Linked DNA regions of Rattus norvegicus. The protein of the gene in region 1 purifies or fractionates together with the protein of each later gene. This does not show direct contact. Links are inferred from orthologs where the notes say so. Each region holds a gene or a part of one and is shown in the gene's direction. Other genes may lie near its edges.

The links. The genes of interacting proteins can lie anywhere in the genome.
Region 2: the proteins of Tubgcp2 (region 1) and Lgals3bp purify together in Homo sapiens (affinity purification with mass spectrometry; 3 studies listed by BioGRID and IntAct, counting the BioPlex papers as one, with this or other methods). This does not show direct contact. The link is inferred for Rattus norvegicus from reciprocal best matches to the Homo sapiens genes TUBGCP2 and LGALS3BP.

The regions. Positions count from the first base shown.
Region 1 is NC_086019.1:204,228,179-204,233,373, reverse strand, and holds part of Tubgcp2 (gamma-tubulin complex component 2), read left to right. Parts: exon of another isoform or gene 1-139; coding exon 140-347; intron 348-603; coding exon 604-803; intron 804-1,247; coding exon 1,248-1,437; intron 1,438-2,111; coding exon 2,112-2,257; intron 2,258-2,878; coding exon 2,879-3,059; intron 3,060-3,331; coding exon 3,332-3,512; intron 3,513-5,195. UniProt on the Homo sapiens protein: Component of the gamma-tubulin ring complex (gTuRC) which mediates microtubule nucleation.
Region 2 is NC_086028.1:104,124,263-104,130,168, reverse strand, and holds the start of Lgals3bp (galectin-3-binding protein precursor), read left to right. Parts: upstream 1-2,320; 5' UTR 2,321-2,455; intron 2,456-4,163; 5' UTR 4,164-4,184; coding exon 4,185-4,236; intron 4,237-5,906.

The DNA.
Region 1 (5,195 bases):
TCATATTCAAATCATAAGAGGAAATCACTTCCGCGTTCCATTCTTGTGTGTACAAGAAAGAGGTCACAGAGGAGGTTGGTAAGGCTATAGAGCCAATGGCATGGGAATCTTAGCATCTACTGTTGCCTGTGCCTTGCAGGTACATTGCCCTTGGCCTCCCAGGAGTCAGCAGTGGTGGAAGATCTGCTCTATGTGCTTGTGGGAGTGGATGGCAGGTACATCACTGCTCAGCCTTTGGCTGGGAGGCAGAACCGTACCTTCCTTGTAGATCCCAACCTGGACCTGTCCATCCGGGAGCTAGTAAACAGAATCCTCCCTGTGGCTGCCAGCTACTCTACTGTGACCAGGTGAGTCCCCAGTGTGACCAGCCACCTCCCTGATAAAGTTCTTTCGTGGCTTGTGATTCTCCCTTCTTCCTAAGAAATTTTGAAGAGCCTATGAGTCACCAACCCCTATCTTGACTCTTAATACCACAGAGTCCCGTTGGCTCTTAGTACTGGAGTGAGTAATTTGCTCTTTAGGTGAGAAGGGGACTTGGAGTAGCTCAACTTTTGTTTGGAAATTTAGCTCTCCCTCATAATGCCTGATGTATCTTTGCTGTAGGTTCATTGAGGAGAAGTCTTCATTTGAATATGGGCAGGTGAACCATGCCTTGGCTGCTGCCATGAGAACCCTGGTGAAGGAATACCTGATTCTCGTCACACAACTGGAACAGCTACACAGGCAGGGCCTCCTCTCGCTGCAGAAGCTCTGGTTCTACATCCAGCCAGCCATGCGTACCATTGACATCCTGGCCTCCCTTGGTGCGGACCTGCTGGCAGGTGGAGGGCTCCCTAAGGCATGGCAGGGCCATTCTGTCTGGGGCTGGTCATTCATAACGCTCTCTGGTGGCATGGTGGCAAGGCAAAGTTCTTGTCACATCTTGTTTTAGTGACCTATATAAGGAAGGCTCCAGTGCATTTCCTTTCTCTTGTTGTTGAAACAAGGTCCTCTTCTGTGTTCTAGACTAGTTAGCGAACTCAGTTGTACAGTCCGCACTGGCCTCTTACTTGCAGTCGCCTTGCTTCAGCCTCCCAAGTGCTGAGGTTTGGGCGTGTGCCACCGTGCTAGGCCTGGAGGCTTTTCTTGATCAGTCTTATTAGCAACTGTAGCCTTGGCATCGGAACATGGTACCTGGCTTGCTGGGGCTCCTATCCACCAGGGGTGCTTAGATGTCTGGGTAGTGAGCCACCCCTTTCTGCCCACAGCCACCTCCGTGGATAAAGGCGAGTGTGTTGGCGGGTCGACGCTGAGCCTTCTCCATGATAGGAGCTTCAACTACACAGGGGACAGCCAGGCGCAGGAGCTGTGCCTCTATCTGACCAAGGCGGCCAGCGCTCCTTACTTTGAGATCCTGGAGGAGTGGATCTACAGAGGCGTCATTCACGACCCATACAGGTAGGCTCTGCGGGTGCCAGACACCTTTCACTTGGACGCTCACGGTGCAGTAGGCTCTGCGGGTGCCAGACACAAGTCCTCAACATCAACACAATGGCTGTGAGCTGAGGAGCGTGTGTCACTCACTCACTGCCTTGCAGCTTTGTCTGTTGAATGAGGAACACTGGTATTAACTCTGGAGCCCACGTCCTTACTGCTTCCACGTGGTTGAATAGTGTGTCACTTGAGCATGATGCCTTTGATTATGTAAAGCAAATGACCAGTTGATAGAGAACTGGGGATGAAGGAAGCCCAGGCCTTGCGTGTGAAGCCCAGGCCTTGCGTGTGAAGCCCAGGCCTTGCGTGTGCTCTACCGTAGGGTGGGCCTTGTGTTTCTTTATGGAGGGGCCAAACAGGAGAATTTGGTGTGATGGGCCTAGTAGGGGACGCGGTTTCCTTCTGGCCACAGGTAAATGGTTCTTGAAGCTCTGTGGGAGGGTCTGATTCTGTTGTTGATAAACCTGTGTACCCAGGACAAGCCATATGTCTGTCCTGTTGCCATAATGCAAGAGTAGGGAAGAAGCCACCCAGCTCTGCAAATTAGACTCCTGCTCCCAAGTAAGGCTGGAAGTATGTGACCACCCCGAGGTTGTCCAGGCTTGTCCTGTAGTGGCCTGAAACACTGTGACTTCCAGTGAGTTCATGGTGGAGGAGCACGAGCTGCGGAAGGAGAAGATACAGGAGGACTACAATGACAAGTACTGGGACCAGCGCTACACTGTGCTGCCACAGCAGATCCCATCCTTCCTGCAGAAGGTAGCAGGCAAGATCCTCAGCACAGGTGACTATGCTTGGACCGCTCTCCAAGGAGGTCAATGGCCTCTTCATGCTGTGTCATGGGACCCGTGGGTCATCACAGCCTTCCAGGCCCTCTGCCCCTGAAGATGACTTAGCTGGGAATGGCCTACTACCCTGAGCTTCTAGCCACTGGTTGGCCCTAGTTCTCCATCACTTTATTCAGCCCCCTAATCAGGACGCTGTCTGCCTCAGACAAAGCCTTCTATCTTGGGTTTTACATCTAACTCCATCATATAGCAAAGAAAAGCCATGAGGAACCCACACCTTCCAGGCCAGCTGCATCTTTTAGTTTTATTGCACAGGATAGGGACTGATGTAGAGATTAGGCAAATCCTTGGGGCCTTAACATAGTGCTCTGCTCTGAAAGCTGAACAGAATCAGAAAGGGCTAGGAGATTACTTAGCAATCTATCTCTCAAGGCTTTTCAAAATCCTTCCTATAAAATACAGACCTGAAAAACTATTGCACAATCTTTCCAGGAAACAAATTGTACCTCATGTCTGGCCTACTTCCCCATGTTTGATTGGCGTCATAAAGGCCCAGGCCTGAGACTCAGCATGTACAGGGATACTGAGTCCACCTTCCTTTTTCTTTTTGTTCTCAGGAAAATACCTAAATGTGGTCAGAGAATGTGGTCATGATGTCACCTGTCCCGTAGCCAAAGAGATCATCTATACCCTCAAAGAGCGGGCATATGTGGAGCAGATTGAGAAAGCGTTCAATTATGCCAGCAAAGTGCTGCTGGACTTCCTCATGGAGGAGAAGGAGCTGGTGGCCCACCTGAGGTTGGACTTCACTTTGTATCCAAGGGGCTGAAAGTAGAATGTTCCTCTTAGCAACTACATTTTTATCTCTATAAGGGCTCCCTGCAGCCCCAGTGTGAGGTGGCAGGGTTTCCGTTCTCTAGTTCTCAGACCATGCAAGCCAACAGGTCTCTCAGCTCCTTGCTGTCAGTCCCTCCCCTTCCGTGTCTGAGCAGAGCAGCTCCATGTCTCAAACCTCTTCCTTGTATGTTGAAGGCAGAGGTCAGGTTATATGTTCAACAACCCTGGCACAGGTCCATCAAGCGCTACTTCCTGATGGACCAGGGGGACTTCTTTGTGCACTTCATGGACCTGACTGAGGAGGAGCTCAGGAAGCCAGTAGAGGACATTACGCCCACACGCCTGGAGGCTCTGTTGGAGCTGGCCCTGAGAATGAGCACTGCCAACACTGACCCCTTCAAAGACGACCTCAAGGTGAGTGTGGTGTTTACCATCATGGCACCTTGCTTCCGCTACACTGGAGTGAACACATAGCAGGGCCCAGTGAGGGTGTCCTACCGGATGTTCTTCCTATTTCAGAGGACACTGGCTTGCAAGCATTTTGTTAAGAGATTTGTGTCTGGTCTCACAGGAGACACTGTTTGTAATTTTCCTGTGAGTTTGGTCCATGTCAGTGTCAAATCAGGCCAACCCCTCACGGAGTGTAGGTGGACGGATGCTCTTTCTTCCTCAGGTTGGGGAGTGGTGTGAGTTATTCAGGGTCTGTCAGGGCTCTTTTCTCTGGGAGATACTGCATCAAGGCTTCATTTCATGCCGGTTGAGGTCTTCCATAACTTCTGCTTCCAGAGTTCATCCTGGCCACCAGTACATTTCTGTTGCCATCAACAGGGTGTGTGTTTGCGGCCATGCAGTAAGAGCTGTTATGGTTTCTAAGGTTGCAGGAGAACTCCACTTTCATCTCTGGGTCCCGTGGTTTGTCCTCTTTCCTCGCTCATGGAAGTGAGAGCTTGTCAGTCCCACTGATGTTCTTAGGAACTCAGTCTTGGTTTTAGTACTTCCTTCCTTTCTCTTTGTCTCTTCAGCTTATTGTTTCTGTTAGCTTTGGGCCTACTTTCTGTTGGTAGTTTCTTGAATTTTGAAGTTAGGCTATTTTAGGATGCTTTATTTTCCCCTATTTCAAGAGGCTCTATGATTTCTTTAGTGATTTGTTTCCATTTAGTTGTAAATTTTCAGGATTTTCTTCTGTTGCTTAGGATTTTTTTGTTTTTAATTTTTATTTTATATGTGTGGATATTTTGCTTGCACACATACCTGTGCAACACATGTGTGCAGAGGACAGAGGAAGGCATGGATCCCAGGACCTGGAGTTACAGACAGTTGTGGGCCACTGTGTGGGTGCTGGGAACTGAACCTGGGTTCTCCAGCTCTCTTACTTAGTTTTAACCTCACTATTTCATGTAAGTTTTATAACATCATGATGGTGCTGGGATTCTGCATGGGCTCTTCCTCTCTTGGCAGGTCTTGGATGGTTCTCAGTGCTGTGCACACAGCTTCCATCTGTTACGAGAGTGAGGCTGAGGCTCCACTGTTCCTGAGAACTTGGTTTTCCTTGCAATTCTGTTCTTCATGTATTTCTGGATCTCTTATTAAGTTCAGGAGTTATTGTGTAGGGTGCATTATTCCTAATGGCAGTCTGACCTGATCATCCAGGTGGACCACACAAGAGCCATCTCAGGTGCTGGCTGTGGGGCAAATGAGTCATGTCTGCTCACCTGATGTCCCCACCTGTGCTACTTTGACAAGCAGGAGTAGAGGGTCTACACGTTCATGACTGTTAGCAAGTGGTGAGCGTTTGCCTTGCTCAGGAGCTGTTTTTGCTTTTCTTCCTTTATTCTTTTTTTTTTTTTTTTTTTTTTTTTGGTTCTTTTTTTCGGAGCTGGGGACCGAACCCAGGGCCTTGCGCTTCCTAGGCAAGCGCTCTACCACTGAGCTAAATCCCCAACCCTCTTCCTTTATTCTTTATGCTTTACTTTTCTTGTCTTTATATTTTGTGTCTTTGTGGACATATATTTATGTCTTACAGGAACTCTTATCAAACTGGCATGTGGTTGGCTCTAACAAGTATTTAATTGTTAATGTAAACAGTATTGTTTGTCC
Region 2 (5,906 bases), on another chromosome or scaffold:
GTGTCCAACCCCTGAACTCTGAGGCCAAAAGCCTTTTGCTGAACCCAAAAGGGCTTTACCCCAGAACTCCCTGGGCCTTTTGAACACCAGATGGCCAGCCCAGGTTGAGCTGCACTGACTGAGGACTCCCCGAGTAGAAACCAAGACCCGGTCTTTTGCTTTTTTGTTTGTTTGTTTGTTTGTTTGTTTGTTTGTTTGTCTGTCTGTCTTTGTGGAGGAAGGGGAATGGGTGTAAGCCAGGCAGAGCCTGTGGTGGTCTGAACCCTAAAGGGTCCCTGGGGCCATTGGGAGGGAGATCGCATTATCGAGTCAGGTGTGTATGGAACCCCAGTGTATCCACTCACAAGTTACTATCTGGGTTTAGAGGACCTCGGGGCCTCCCTCCCTGGTGTCATACCTGGGACAAAGAGCTCAAAGCACAGGATAAAAGGATTTGCCAGACCAGAATTGATGTAGAAGTTTTAATAAAGGACACTTGGGAGGTGGTGCTGGAGAGATGGCTCAACTGATAAGGAATACTCCTTGCACAGAAGCCAGGTATAATTCCCAGCACCCACATGGCGGCTCACAACCGTCTGTAACTCCAACTCCAGGAAACCTGATACCCTGGCCACCATACGCACAGGTGTATGGCACACATGTACATGGTGTGTTTGCCTGCAGGCAAAATGCTCACACACATAAAATAAATGAATCCTTAAAAAAAAAAAAAGTAGACACCAAGGACAGAAACACAGCAGGTAAATTCCTGAACCATACATCAGAAAGGAACAGGGTGATTTTATACCAATTTGAAGTCACCTGACTTTGCCTCCTGGGTCATTTGTGTCGGACGTTTTGAATAGCATTCAAGAGTTGAGTGTCTTGAGGTAGTAAACCTTATGGGGCTGGCAGCTGGGGGAGCCACAGGGAGCTGTTGGGATTTAGGTCACTGTATAAACCTATCATAAGGTTAATTTTAATGTATTTTATATATTTGGAAGTTTTGTCTGCATGGATGTGTGTGCACCACATATGTGCCTGGTGACCATGGAGATCAGGAGAGGGCGTTGTATCCCTTAGAACTGGAGTTATGGTGATTGTGTGCAACCATGTGGGAGTTCCTAAGGGAACCTGGGTTCTTTGCAAGAAGAACAAGTGTTCCTAACCACTGAGCAACCTCCCAGTCCTCTTTGAATTTTATATAATTTTTCACATTTATTTACTGTGTGTGTCCACGTGCATGCACATACAGGCTATGGTAGACATACAGAGATCAGAAGACAGCTTACAGGAGTCAGTTTTCTCCTGCAGTGAGTTCCAGGGATCAAACTCACAGTGTCAAGATTGGCTGGCTGCAGGTTACCATCTCTGTTGTTGTTAGTTTTGTTGTTGTTGTTGTTGTTTTGGGTTTTTTGTTTGTTTGTTTTTCTCCTTTTCTTCCTTCGAGGCAGGCTTTCTTTGCGTAGCTCTGACTAACCTAGAACTTACAACGCAAACCAGACTAGTTTCTAACTATCAAAGATCCACCTACCTCTGCCTCCCAGTTGAAGGTGTTTGCCACCACAGGTATTAAAGAAACCTCTTAAGATTTAAATTTTAAACGTATGTGCACTGCGTGTGTGCATGCATGAGCACACTTGGGTGTATGTGTGTGCCTACAAAGTCTGATCCCATGGAGTTCACTTAAAGCCTGTTCCAAGCCAACCAACATGGGTGCCAGGAATTGAACTCAGATCCCCCGAGAGAGTAGGCAATGCTCTTAACCAGCAAGCCACCCCTAGCTCCTAGCCCTGCTTCCTGTTTTCTATCTCGATTCCCATCCCTCAGGACCACTCTGTGGCCCACATACCTTCCCTCCGAGCATGCTCTGAGCACGGAAGGTTTGTGCAGTGAGCACAGCCAGCCTCCCCAGATCCAGGAAAGGATTGTGCAGCCCACATCCATGTTCACAGACACTGTGTGACCTGAGCCTCTGCTCCCCGGCCCATTTGCAGCATCTTCTCACCATCCACCGGGGTGCCTGCCTGGCCAGCCTGGACAAGTTGCCCCCCACTGTGCTTACCAGGCCAGCAAGGGGATATATCTGTTCCATCCCCTTCCAAGCTGCCCTCCCAGGGTGCCTGCCTGGCCAGCCTGGACATGTATCTGTTCAGCCGCAACATTGTTGTTTTATCAGCTCAGCACAGGGCACTTGGGTGCTTGCCATCCTCCCTGCAGAGCAGCAAGCAGAGGGCTATTAGCCTTGTCTGCAGCCAACCCCAGAGGCAGCCTCCGTCATGTGTTTTCTGGAAATCGAAACTAGACTAGGTTTATAAAGCATTTCCGGGGAAGAGGCTGAGGAAAACCACATGGTGGGGCCTTTCTCAGCTGAACAGTCTACAGAAAGCTTCGAGCTGCAGCCAGCAAGGAGGCTCCAGGACCATCTGCAGCAGCTGCCTGGACAGGTGACTGACTACCTGTCTCTTGCTCCCAGGTGAGTCCCCGCTCTACACAGCATAATTTCTGGGGGGGGGGGTCGCAGAACACAGGAACACCTAGACCTGCAGAGCCTCTAAACAGTTAGGCAGGATGTTCACTGAAAGAACAACTGAAGGGGTGAGTGGGGTACAGTTCATCCCTCGGCCTTCTCCTGGGTCTGTGGATTCTCACCCAGGACTAAACAGACCTACACAGTGGTACTGAATGAGCCAGCATAGGCAGGCACATCCCAAGTTCCCACACAAAGGAGTCAGGCAGAAACAGCCCCTGTCATCCAGTGGACAAAAATGTCCACATACCCTGCAATGTTCCCAAGGCCTAAAGTTCCTGACCCAGCATGGACAAACCCTATAACCACAGCTTATAGTAAATGGAGGGGGTGGGCACCCAGGGCACTTTGCCTGGGACTCAGGTTTCCCGGAACCCAGACCTCCTTGGGATAAGACTGGGTGCACAGCACTAAGGATCAAGCTTCCCACCCATCATCGAGTTATAGAGTTCAGCGGTCAGAGCCTATAGTGAGAATGCTCCCCTGGTAGCCAGACTCCGCCAGCCACACTGAGAAGAGTCCAGTGGCCTTCCCCCATTAACATCCCAGAGTCTATAGGGGATATTAACATGAGGTTTACATAGAGGAATGTATAGCTAACTGGTCTGCCCTATGCCTGGGCTGTAAATCCCAGACTGGGCTGATATTTCCTGGAGACAAGCTTCCCCTCCGGCTGTCACCAGGCAACAGCTTTCTCCTTTCAGCATGAGACTCCCAGGGGGAATTCCAGTTCTGTCCTTGCTTCAGTAGTACGATAACCGAAGGGAAGGGCACGAGTTTGTCTTAGACTATCTTCACCCTTGCCAAGATGGCTACAAGAGCCCTGGATCACTGAGGTCTTGCTCGTGCTGCTCTGGTACAGAATGTCTGGGGTGGAGGACAATCCTGGTGTTTCTACTGATCCTGGGATAACCTCTACTGCTGGTCTCTGGGCCCCTGGTCTGAGTAACAAAACAGTTTGAGATTCGTTGCTGAGTTCCTGCCCAGGAGACAGAGCTCTACAGCACCGTCCACTACCAGCCCCGACCTCACTGCCCTCGGGACTAGAATGAGTCTACCAGGGCTGCTGCACTTTGCTCTCTAGGTCAGCCCCCTTCATGCAGGGCCCGAGAGAAAGTGCCTGGGTGGGGCCCATTCTACAGACAGGCGAGAGAGTCTTAGTATTGAGTCCCTGTGTGTCAGCACCTTGGCAGTTGACCCTGACCCATCTCCCACTCATCCCCAGATCACGCCATGACCTCTGCAACTGTCTCTGTCACTTCCTCCTGAGAGTTCCCTGCTCCAACCTCATCCACAACACCCTCCCAGACTGGCATATCTTGTCCCTTTGGGGCACACCCCGAAGGGGGCTGCTGCCTGAAGATAAGACCAACCGTTGAGGGATAGCCTCTTGTCTATTTCCTGGGTTCTCGTTGCCAGGAGCCCTCAACCCACCTGCCTCATCTGGGGAGACTTACTGTCCTGAAGGTTGTCCCATAGAGCATGTGAGAGAGAGGCCTGCATAAGGGTCATCTCATGGCCATCTGGGCCTTACGGAAGAGGGACCACCCACAACACCATCCTGTCCTCCACAAACTTGACAGGGGACCATGGAACTACCAGTCTCCTCCGGAGAGCTGTGGCCAGTCTAACTTTGTTGTTCCTTCTGCTGCAGGTTGGGCTTCCAGGTCAGGCAATGGCTCTTCTGTGGCTCCTCTCTGTGTTCTTGCTGGTTCCAGGGACTCAAGGTGAGTCCTGCTCAGCGAAAGGTCCAAAACAGAAGTCAAGACCGTGCGCCTTGGTGCCTTGTTCTGTGTGGGTCACACACACACCCCCTCCCCATCTTTGCAGAAAAGCCAGGTGGCATCCTGTAAGACACCATGTCTTAGGATTCTCTGCCATGTGGATCCTCAGTCATTCTGAATGGTGGCCCTGTATGGGCCCTGCCCCCTCCCCGAAATGCAGGTGTTGGAGAAGAGACCAAGGAATCTTTTTTCACCTCATCAGTGGGCCAAGGAGGGAGAGTGCAGCCTGTGTTGTCCTGGAGTTTGAGCTCTCAGGTCACAGGCTAGAATGCCAGAGAGTCCCTGTGGAACAGTTTACAAACTGCACCATGGGTCTGAAAGCCTTGCCCATCCTGGACCCTCAGCTGAGTATCTCGCTCTAGCATGGGTGACCCCAATTCAAGCACCCAGCCGGCATGGACAGAGACGGGAGTCCCAGAGAGCAGGGAGCAGGACTCCCTTGGCTACCTGTGCCTGAGGGCAGACTGTCTCTAGTCCAGTGTTGTCCCCTCTAGGCAGACACTGTAGGGATGAGGTAGCAACTGTATGTGCGAGTTGGGATATCAGCGCTGTGCACCCCGCTCCTCTCTTACAATGGGACCCCACACCACAGCTCCCTCGTCCCCACACTTTGGAGGGAGCAGGCAGCATGGCAATGTCCTGTTGCTGAGTGGGGACAGTCCAGAGGCCATGAGACAGGTGGCACTGGGGTGTCAAGACATCACCCATCGTAAGCCGAGGTTAATCTGCTCTCTGCCTGTGTCTAGGAACCCAGGACCCACCTTCCCCTTCATACCAGCGTTTCAGAGAGCCAGGAAAGAGCCTCTCCCCCCCCCCCCAAGTTCACTCAGTAGGCTGAGAGCCAAGGTGTCCTCTTGGAGAAAAAGACCCAGAGATGAGAGCTAGATAGACCATGGCCTCTGTGGGCTCATCAGAGTTTTCACTCTTCTTCAGTGGGTAACTTTTTTTTTTTTTTTTTGGTTCTTTTTTTTCGGAGCTGGGGACCGAACCCAGGGCCTTATGCTTCCTAGGCAAGCGCTCTACCACTGAGCTAAATCCCCAACCCCCCCCCTTTTTTTTTTTAAAGATTTATTTCTTTATTTACTATATATAAGTACTCTGTAGCTGTCTTCAGACACACCAGCAGAGGGCATCAGATTCCATTACAGATGGTTGTGAGCCACCATGTGGTTGCTGGGGATTGAACTCAGGACCTCTGGAAGAGCAGTCAGTGCTCTTAACCTCTGAGCCATCTCTCCAGCCCCCCCCCTTTTTTTTTAAAGATTTTTTTTATTTGTTTTTATGTATGTGAGTACACTGTAGCTGTCTTCAGACACACCAGAAGAAGGTTTCTGATCCCATTACAAATGGTTGTGAGCCACCATGTGGTTGCTGGAAACTGAACTCAGGACCTCTGGAAGAGCAGTCGGAGCTCTTAACCACTGAGCCATCTCTCCAGCCCTTCAGTGGGTAACCTTACACACACACACACACACACACACACACACACACGAATGCACGTGCGGGGAGGGCCCCTTGAAGTGGTTCAAGGCATCTCCAGAAGGCCACTCCACCCTGTTTGGGGTGACCTTTGCTCAACGAGAGAGCACACAGAGCATTGAGTACACGGGGAG